Linked DNA regions of Oryzias latipes. The protein of the gene in region 2 purifies or fractionates together with the protein of the main gene of each other region. This does not show direct contact. Links are inferred from orthologs where the notes say so. Each region holds a gene or a part of one and is shown on either strand. Other genes may lie near its edges. The genes, in order: larp7 and rsl1d1.

What was found.
Region 1: the proteins of rsl1d1 (region 2) and larp7 purify together in Homo sapiens (affinity purification with mass spectrometry; 3 studies listed by BioGRID and IntAct, with this or other methods). This does not show direct contact. The link is inferred for Oryzias latipes from reciprocal best matches to the Homo sapiens genes RSL1D1 and LARP7.

What each region holds. Positions count from the first base shown.
Region 1 is NC_019876.2:11,528,792-11,533,077, reverse strand, and holds the start of larp7 (la-related protein 7), read left to right. Parts: upstream 1-1,375; 5' UTR 1,376-1,502; intron 1,503-1,901; 5' UTR 1,902-1,902; coding exon 1,903-2,110; intron 2,111-2,189; coding exon 2,190-2,290; intron 2,291-3,371; coding exon 3,372-3,455; intron 3,456-3,549; coding exon 3,550-3,714; intron 3,715-3,795; coding exon 3,796-3,880; intron 3,881-4,286. UniProt on the Homo sapiens protein: RNA-binding protein that specifically binds distinct small nuclear RNA (snRNAs) and regulates their processing and function.
Region 2 is NC_019877.2:2,439,399-2,443,809, forward strand, and holds the start of rsl1d1 (ribosomal L1 domain-containing protein 1), read left to right. Parts: upstream 1-1,430; 5' UTR 1,431-1,499; coding exon 1,500-1,532; intron 1,533-1,757; coding exon 1,758-1,897; intron 1,898-1,964; coding exon 1,965-2,103; intron 2,104-2,186; coding exon 2,187-2,335; intron 2,336-2,993; coding exon 2,994-3,095; intron 3,096-3,320; coding exon 3,321-3,414; intron 3,415-4,411. Other genes in the region: gspt1 (eukaryotic peptide chain release factor GTP-binding subunit ERF3A), read left to right, coding at 1-71, 188-356, 450-502. UniProt on the Homo sapiens protein: Regulates cellular senescence through inhibition of PTEN translation. Acts as a pro-apoptotic regulator in response to DNA damage.

The DNA.
Region 1 (4,286 bases), on a different chromosome or scaffold from region 2:
TATATATGGGATTAAGAAAGTAAGCAGTGCTAGCAAATTGTGTTTCCAAAAAGTAATTGTTACATTAATCTAATTCAATGTCCCTGATTTCATTTTCATGTAGATGCAATAATCCTGCAGGAATTAAAAGAACATGGCAGCAGCTAAAAATGAAGTATAAAAACATAATTCAATCAGGTCAAATTTGAGCATGTCATGGAGGTAGGCTTTGTTGACAATATTTGACATATGAAACATCTACATAGCAATACATATCTAATGTTGTTTTCATTGTATATATGTAATTGACTGCAACGAAAAACGGTAACGCTCAAACAAAAACGTATGGGGAAATGCCAAAAAATCGAGTCTAGGTCTCAAAATCCTCGCACGACGTAAATGTAATTCTCTACGAATTAATGCAGCCTCCTCGTCTATTGGGTCCTCCAAAAAAGGACAAGCCATTCTTGTCACTTGTCTCTGTGTGACTGAAATTTGGGCAATGAAGGTTAAAGCGAAAAATACCGCTTCGTCTTTAAAAAGGGGAGGGGACCGGCAGAAACCTTGAGTTTAAAGAATAAAACCTGCTCCCGACCAGGTTAGGTTCACAGCGTAAGTAACTATGGACGCTGACTCCGAGTATAAGTTACCTATCTTTCAGAAACGGGTTTGACTTACTCTGCTTTCTCCGGTTTAACAAACCTCCCATTTTGAAACGGAAAACCCAGGGTTTCCCTGATTTCAGGGTTAACGCACTCAGAGTTTACACTTAACCTCATTTCTGAAACAGGGCCCAGGAAAACATCACGTCATAAAAAATATAAACCATATAACCTCAGACATTAATACAAAACATGTTGGCCCGTACGGGGATCGAACCCGCGACCTTGGCGTTATTAGCACCACGCTCTAACCAACTGAGCTAACCGGCCGTGCGCGTTATTTAAACACAGAGAATAAAATTGTTACGAGGACGACATCTCGGCATATCCATGTTACTATTTACTATTATTATTATTGTTTTTTTTAACCGTCTTAATAGGTAGATTGACCATGTCACTTATCAAAACTAGTTACTTATGTCACATAAAGACATGGGTAGTTTAGTTTACACAAAAAAGAGGACAAAAAAACAACAGAAATAAATAAATGTGTACTTCTTGGATTGGAAACTATCTTTTTACCTGTATTTCGTTTACATTTGAAATGAATGTTTTCTATTGCTACTTTGCGTAAATTTAAATAAATATATTTTTAAAAATGTTGCTGAGTTTTTCTTTTTTCCTTAAAAGTATGAAGTTATTTTTTTTTCTTCACATTAATCGGTGCTGAATTTTCTTGTACGTCTCAATATAATAGAACTTACCGGAAGTTGAATAAACGTCCTGGCGGACAGTTGTGACGACATCATTGTGCGACGTCTCCATTCGAAATATTCTGTGATGTTTGTCCGTTAGCCGCAGTGTTTTTGTATTTTTTGTTATGTTAGTATTAAATTGATGTTTATAATATCTTTTACTCAGGTAAGTTTGCAAAAATAACTACATTTTTAAAAGTAATTTATTGACAGTTAAGCGGAACTTTGCTCGCTTTTATAACTATTTTCAACAACAATACTACTGAATACATGTTTTAAAAAGTCGGACGTACAGCCGTGATTTGGCTTAAGAGCTGTTTTTGCTGAAATTCTATTGTTTTCGCTTTTCAATTTTTTTTTTTTTTTGCTTTACATATGAATGAGATTTGTTTATTGTGTTATGGTTACAAAAATGTCTTGTGTGTAAACCCCAAGACTCAAATGCAGCAAATAAACAATAAACCATAGTAAGATAATTCCTATTATGTGGTTTAGTTTTATTTTTGGAGATTTTTTAAAATCAGGATTTTGGTTTTGTATGAGTGTGTGGGATTCTGTTTTTTAGGATGACTAACACAGACAAGGAGGCAAGTGGAGGCGGTGCTGCCGCTGCACCCAGCGACAAGCTGAAACTTGAGACAGAGAAGAAGAAGAGGTACCGGGTCAAACAGCTGCTGGGAGACGTGAAGAAGCAGGTGGAGTTCTGGTTTGGAGATGCAAACCTCCACAAGGACCGTTTCCTGAAAAAGATTATAGAGGAGTCTGATGATGGATGTAAGGAGCCGTCAAGATGAGGATAGTGTGATTTTTCCAGGGGTTAGGATCTCTAACCTCCGTGTGAATCCCCTTTCAGATGTTGACATATCTGTGTTGACGGGCTTCAATCGAATGAAGAAGCTGACAACGGATCCAAAGCTCATTGCCAGGGCGCTGAAAAATTCCACTCTAGTTGAGGTAAATGTTGTTACTTGGATGCAGGGCTGTGTTTTGTTGACTAATCCAAAGTCACAGAAGACGTAGTAGGTTAAAATCACAAACTCCATGGAAACCAAAACCTCCCAAAAATACAAAACTGGAACAAAAACCAAGCAGCAGACATCAGCATCCAAATGCAGTAAAAATAAAATTCAGAGAAAAAAAGGAATACAATTTAATAATAAAAACAGCGATTAAAAAAAATAATGAAAAGCAAAAAAGGCAAATAAACAGATACATCATCTGAGTTTAATAGCTTTATTACTTTTTAAAGGGAATTAAAGATTAGATTTAAGTATTTTTTATAAAGCAAAAAATTGGGGTGAAGTTAAAAAAACAACCATTAATGAAAAATAAAATTCCTAAAATGATCTAATAATTAACTTAGAATTAAATATGTTTGTCTTTGTATAAAGATCCAAATGGAATAGTATTAGGCAAAAATGAAGTATTTCTTTTTTGTTGTGTTTTTTGAAAGCTAATCATTTAAATCCTGCCAAAAATATTAACCAAATTACAATAATAAAAAAAGATGTTTTAGTATCAGTTTTACACAAAGTTATATTGAATAAATCTAATTCTTCCTTTTTTTTATATCTTTATTGTCATTGTTTTTTCAAAGCTTTAAACAACATCACAACAAAACATTTCAATTCTGGCGTTAAAAGTAATATGTATATATAAAAAATATACACAAAGGAGAAAAAACCTCTATAAGGATTCCACTAAAGTTTGAAGGTTTTTTCTTTTTTTTTAACAATAAATGTAACTCTCTCAAAAGCTAAACGTCGAGGGTGTGTCCATACTCTTCCAATAAATCAAATTCTTAAATATGATTTTGTATAGATATATAAGGAATTGTTTTTAAATGAACTGCTTTTATTTTAAGCATGTAGCAACCGCCCAGTAAGGGCTGTCAAAAGGGAACAGCGAGGGTGGGTGTGATTGGCGCCTGTAGGCCGTTTAACCCCACTCCCAGCCTTATTAGCAGTTCGTTCTAGCTTTGATTTCACTTCGGCCCCTTGAATGAGTTGGGTTTCGTTTTTCTTTTGCGTGTTAGGTTAACCTGGAGGGAAACAAAGTAAGACGTCAACAGCCGCTTGGTGACCCACCCATCAACAGCGACAGCTGCACTGTCTACGTGGTAAAACGACGTCTTCTGTTGTCGCCTTCGCTTGGCTTAAAAACATAATTCAAGCCTTACACATATTTACTGATTTTCTTTCAAATTTTCCAAGGAACTTCTGCCCAAGGATGTTTCCCACAGCTGGATAGAAAGGGTGTTCTCCAAATGCGGGAATGTGACGTATGTGAGCATTCCCAGATACAGGACAACGGGCGACTCCAAGGGTTTTGCCTTTGTTGAATTTGAGAATGAAGAACAAGCGCAGAAAGCAATAGAGGTGAGCTATCCGTGTCACTTTTCCTCTTAAGGAAAGCATTTTTTTTTTCCATCTTAACGTATATTTTATCTCTGAAAACAGATGCTGAACAACCCTCCTGAAGATGCACCCAGGAAGCCTGGGATTTTCCCCAAGACTTTAAATAGGAAGCCGATTCCTGTTACAGGTGAGAGAGTGCTGGTTCAGTGCTATGTCACACATCACTGTATGTTGGCCTGAGCAGCTCATTCAGACTCTGTATATAACAATAAGAAGGTGTTTGTTGGTTCAGCTTGACTGCTTCATTCCAATACCATTGCTTTTTCTCTGTCTGCTCTCCGTTTTCTAACTCATTTATTTAAATCTGTGTCTGCAAACATTGTTTTATGTTTAAGTATCGAATGCAACTGTATGAAAGCTGACACGAAGCTCCTAAACATTCGAGGGCCTTCTTTGTTTTTAAAAGCATTTGTGCTAGACATCTCTTTTTAACAGGTTAAGCCTCAGTTTGGTTTTCCAGGCGTCCCCACTCTTACATTTAAAGTAGGGACCTGGTTGTTTAGCAGGTCGGCTAACATTGATTTATCAGTTCA
Region 2 (4,411 bases):
AGTCCATCATTTGTCCCGGGTACAACGCGGTCCTTCACATCCACACCTGCATCGAAGAAGTTCAGATCACAGTGAGTGACGCTCTCTCTGAAGTCGTCATGGCAACTGCATCCTTCCACCTGGATGGGTGCGTGGCCTCCTCCCATGAGACGGTTGTTGAGCAGAGGCTGTTTAATTTTGTCCGCAGGCCTTAATCTGTCTGGTTGACAAAAAGACGGGAGACAAGAGCAAAACGCGACCTCGCTTCGTCAAGCAGGACCAGGTGTGCATCGCCAGGCTGCGGGCGGCGGGAGTCATCTGCTTAGAGACTTTCAAAGACTTCCCTCAGATGGGGAGATTCACGCTGCGAGACGAAGGTGGGAGGGGGTCTTCGAACCCTCAAACTCCTGTTTTTTTTTCTTTTTTTTTTGCCGCTTCCGCTCATCCTGCTTTTCTGCTTCCACCACCAGGCAAGACCATCGCCATCGGCAAAGTGCTGAAGCTGGTGCCGGAAAAGGACTAAAAGCAGGCGCGGCAGCATGCATGGAGTTCTTCCACTCGTTTATCAGAGGAGAAACGCTGCCAGAGCCGACCCAATCAGCTGCTCTCTCTTTACACACGACTCTGCCGAAGAGGAGAACAACAGGAAGGAGCCGAGACGGGGGACAACGTCACATCCACCGAAAAACATCGAGACTGAATCAGTTTTTATGATGAACAATGTGAAACGAGAGACCAAGCCCAGAGTGTCAGCTTTCTCATATTGAGAGCTCAGCGATGCCACTAATGTAGCTCCACGCGCCCCCTCTGTACCCCAGGCTCTGCTGTGCTGTTGGCTGGCGATGCTCTGTGTTTGTTTGTTTTTTTAGGACGGAGACGCAGCGCTAAAGGAGACGCAAATTCTAACCATTCAAAGTTCACCTCCCTTTGTGACAGAGGAGTCGGGGCTCCGAGCGATTCGGTTTTTAAGGTTTGCTGTATCGGGATTTTTAGTTTTGACTTTGGTCTCTCCTCCACCTGAGAAAGGCATCATTGGACTGACCATACATTCAGTGTGACTCTGATGATCCAAGGAGAAACTCACACAGGCAGACACATCGCTGTTACATAATCCAAACGGAAAATAAAAGATCATGACCCAAGCTTGTTTGTTGTTTGTTTGTTTTATTCATTACCTCCCATTATTTACCATATAATGTACTGTATCTTTTACATATTCGGAAATATTCTGCACAATAAAATTAAAACTTACTGTTTCCTAAAACATATACATTTTTTAAATAAATGTTTTAAAAACTTTTTTAATAATGTTGAAATAAATTATAAACGTTTGTAATTCATGTATATATAAGAAACCAATTTTCAATAGTATATCTATTTGAAACAATTTACCTCCAAATAGTCATTTTTGTCACTTTTCTACTTTTCACTTATAAATAAAGTTTCATGGCTCTTCCTGTGACGTAAACCTTTTTCCGGCACTGTGCGCCTGCGCAGCGGAAGCACGTGTAGCCGACAGCATGGCGGATGAAGTTGTGTTGGACCGATCGCAGGTAAAAACTTTTATTTTCATGCCGATTTGTATTCACGCTATATCGAAGGAAAAATAAAACGTTTTACTTAAAAACGAACTCGGTTTTGATCAACACGTAAACGTTTTATGTCACTGACTGGCTAGCTACTTTAGCTAGCTAAATTAGCATCGATACAGGAACGTATTTGGGGTTAGATTTAAGGGTATTTTTGTTGTGTTTAATGGAAGTTTATGTTCCTTGTAGGTGAAAAAAGCCGTTCAGGCCCTGCAGGCCTTTCTAAAAACTCAACCCAGCACAAATTCCCTGCTGTTGGACGAAGCTCAAAAGATCAGCGTGCAGTTCACCCTTTGGAAAATTCCCAAACGCGCTCAAACGATCCGCATGTGAGTCTGGACGAGAAGGGGCTGTCCTTCTCCTCTGTGTGTGGTTCTCATACGAGTGTTTCCGCAGACCGTTGCCTCACGGCCAGCGGACCGACACGGACGAGGTTTGCCTTTTCACCAGAGATGAACCCAACATGACGTCAGAGCAGACCCAGAGGTTCTACAAGAAGCTGCTGGAGGAGAGAGGAGTCAAAGGCATATCAGAGGTGCTGAACTAAATCTCATCCAACCATTTATCCCGATCCTGATGCTGACCATTCCTGTTTGGGTTCACCTCCTCCTATTCCAGATTATTCCCTACAAGATGCTGAAAGCGGAATATAAACCGTATGAGGCCAAGCGGCGCCTCCTGGGGAACTTTGACGTGTTCCTCTCGGATGACCGGATCCGCCGCCTGCTGCCATCCCAGCTCGGGAAAGAGTTTTATAAGAGAAAGAGGTGAGAACGGGAGTTTGGCCTCCGACACATGAATGTACAAACAGAATCCTTTGATTTTTGTTGAATGGAACAGCGGCTCTAAAAATAACATCTTAAAATTGTAGTTTACTTTATTTGAAAAAGAAATCCACGTTGAGCTGTTTTATCATAAAGTCTTTAAACATTGTGGATTAAAAAATCATCTCGCGGATCTATTATTTATGATTTAGCCGAAATCCAAAAACCTATGTCGTTTTCCAGGACATAGTTTCTGCAGAGCGGCAGGAGTTTATCAGAAATTCCCCTTAGACTTCGTCTATAAACGTTGGGATTAGAACAGGGGGCCGGGGGCCATAAACTGTTTAATCTGACCCCCCCAAACTGGACTAAATCATTGATAACCCCTAATAATGTTTTATTTTCCCTGTAATTTGACACAGTTTTGAAATAAAAACGCCAAAATGTTCTGTTTTCATTTATATCAGTTAATATCTAACAGTTTTCAATCAAAATCAAAGCTCGTCTTCATCCAGATTCTATGTTATCTCTTTCTCTTATGAGGTGGATTACCAAAACACACCACATAAAATGTTGCCCCCCCAGGATTAGAAGCTTGTTTTGGGTGTACTTCTGGGTTCCTCTGCTCGCGTTTTGACCGTTTTCCCCCCGTCTCCTCCAGAGAGCCGCTCTGCGTGGACCTCCAGAGCAAACATCTGGCCAGAGACGTGCAGAGAGTCGTCCAGGGAACCCGGCTGAGCGTGACCAACAAAGGCTGCTGCTGGTGAGCCGCTCCGCTTCTCTGTCCTCGAAACCCGAAGAGGACCAGACGGGTTCTGGCTGCACCTCGGTACAACCCGGTCGACCCGGTTGGAGGCTGCGGAAACTCGCCCTAAATCCAGTCGGGCCACCTCTTCCCGTGGAGACCGTCGCTATAACTCTGAAACAGCGATGAGGGGGATCGACCCCCTCAGCTCTGAACCCTCGCCTGTGGTTGATTGTGTTGCAGTTTAGCGCACGTGGGGCATTCCAGCATGAGCGCGGAGGAGGTGACGGAGAACGTCCAGGCCGTCTTCCAAACGGTCCTGTCCAAGATCCGGATGGTGAGTCCAAAGAAGCGGACTTTCTGCTCGTCTGTTTGAGTTCATCGGCGCAGAAGCCTTCGTCCGTTCTAACAAAAACAAAACCACACTCACCCTGAAATGCTTTGTCCCGTCAATGGCTCACCCATGAGGCTGCTGGGAAATGAAACGCTTCGAACTCAATAAAATCTAAAGTAAAAAAAGAAGTCCTCCGAGAGTCCTGGGCCGATGACATCACGGCGAGAGAAAGCGACAAATAATGAAGGACGCCAAAATATCTTAAAGGAAAAATTCTAAATCCAAAAGAGGTTTTTCAAAATGAAAGAATTTTCAAATACACGCCACCAACCTAAGTCTACAACCAAAAACCAAACTTTTTATTGACCTTTGACCTCAGGAGGAAGAACGCCGTTGGTGTGGCGAGCTCTCGGATATGGCACTCTCTGTTGCACATTCACCGGAATATTGTAAAAAAAAAAAAATTGAGAACATGGATTGTTGGATCTAAGAAATGTCAGAAATGTGGGCTTGGTTCGCCGAAAACTACGGTTCCCAAGGAAATACGAAAGTTTAACTTTTACAGATTCTTCTGAAAATGACTTCGACCTGTTCGTTACCTTGGGTTGAGCGAAAATTCAAATGGTTGCTATGGAGATAAAACCAACAGAAAGGTGCCATTTGTCATGTGCAGCTTTAACCAGTGCAGCTCGGCCAGTGGGTGAGGGTGGGTAGCGTCTGCAGGCCGTACAACGCCAATCTTTTTCTTGGGAGTTTGTGTCTTTGATCGTCTATCGGTTATGAAATGTTTTTGGTTTTTATTTTATTTATTTATTTTTTTACAATATAATGAAGATAATTTATAGGGCCTCGCGATTGAGTGATCAATACAATCAATGGGGATGACGATATAGTTTGACATACATGATCCCATAGAAAAACAACCAAAGACGTCATTTCCACGTCACTCCCAACAGTTTCATTTATATGACTCAACGTAACTTAAATTACGCTCCAAATG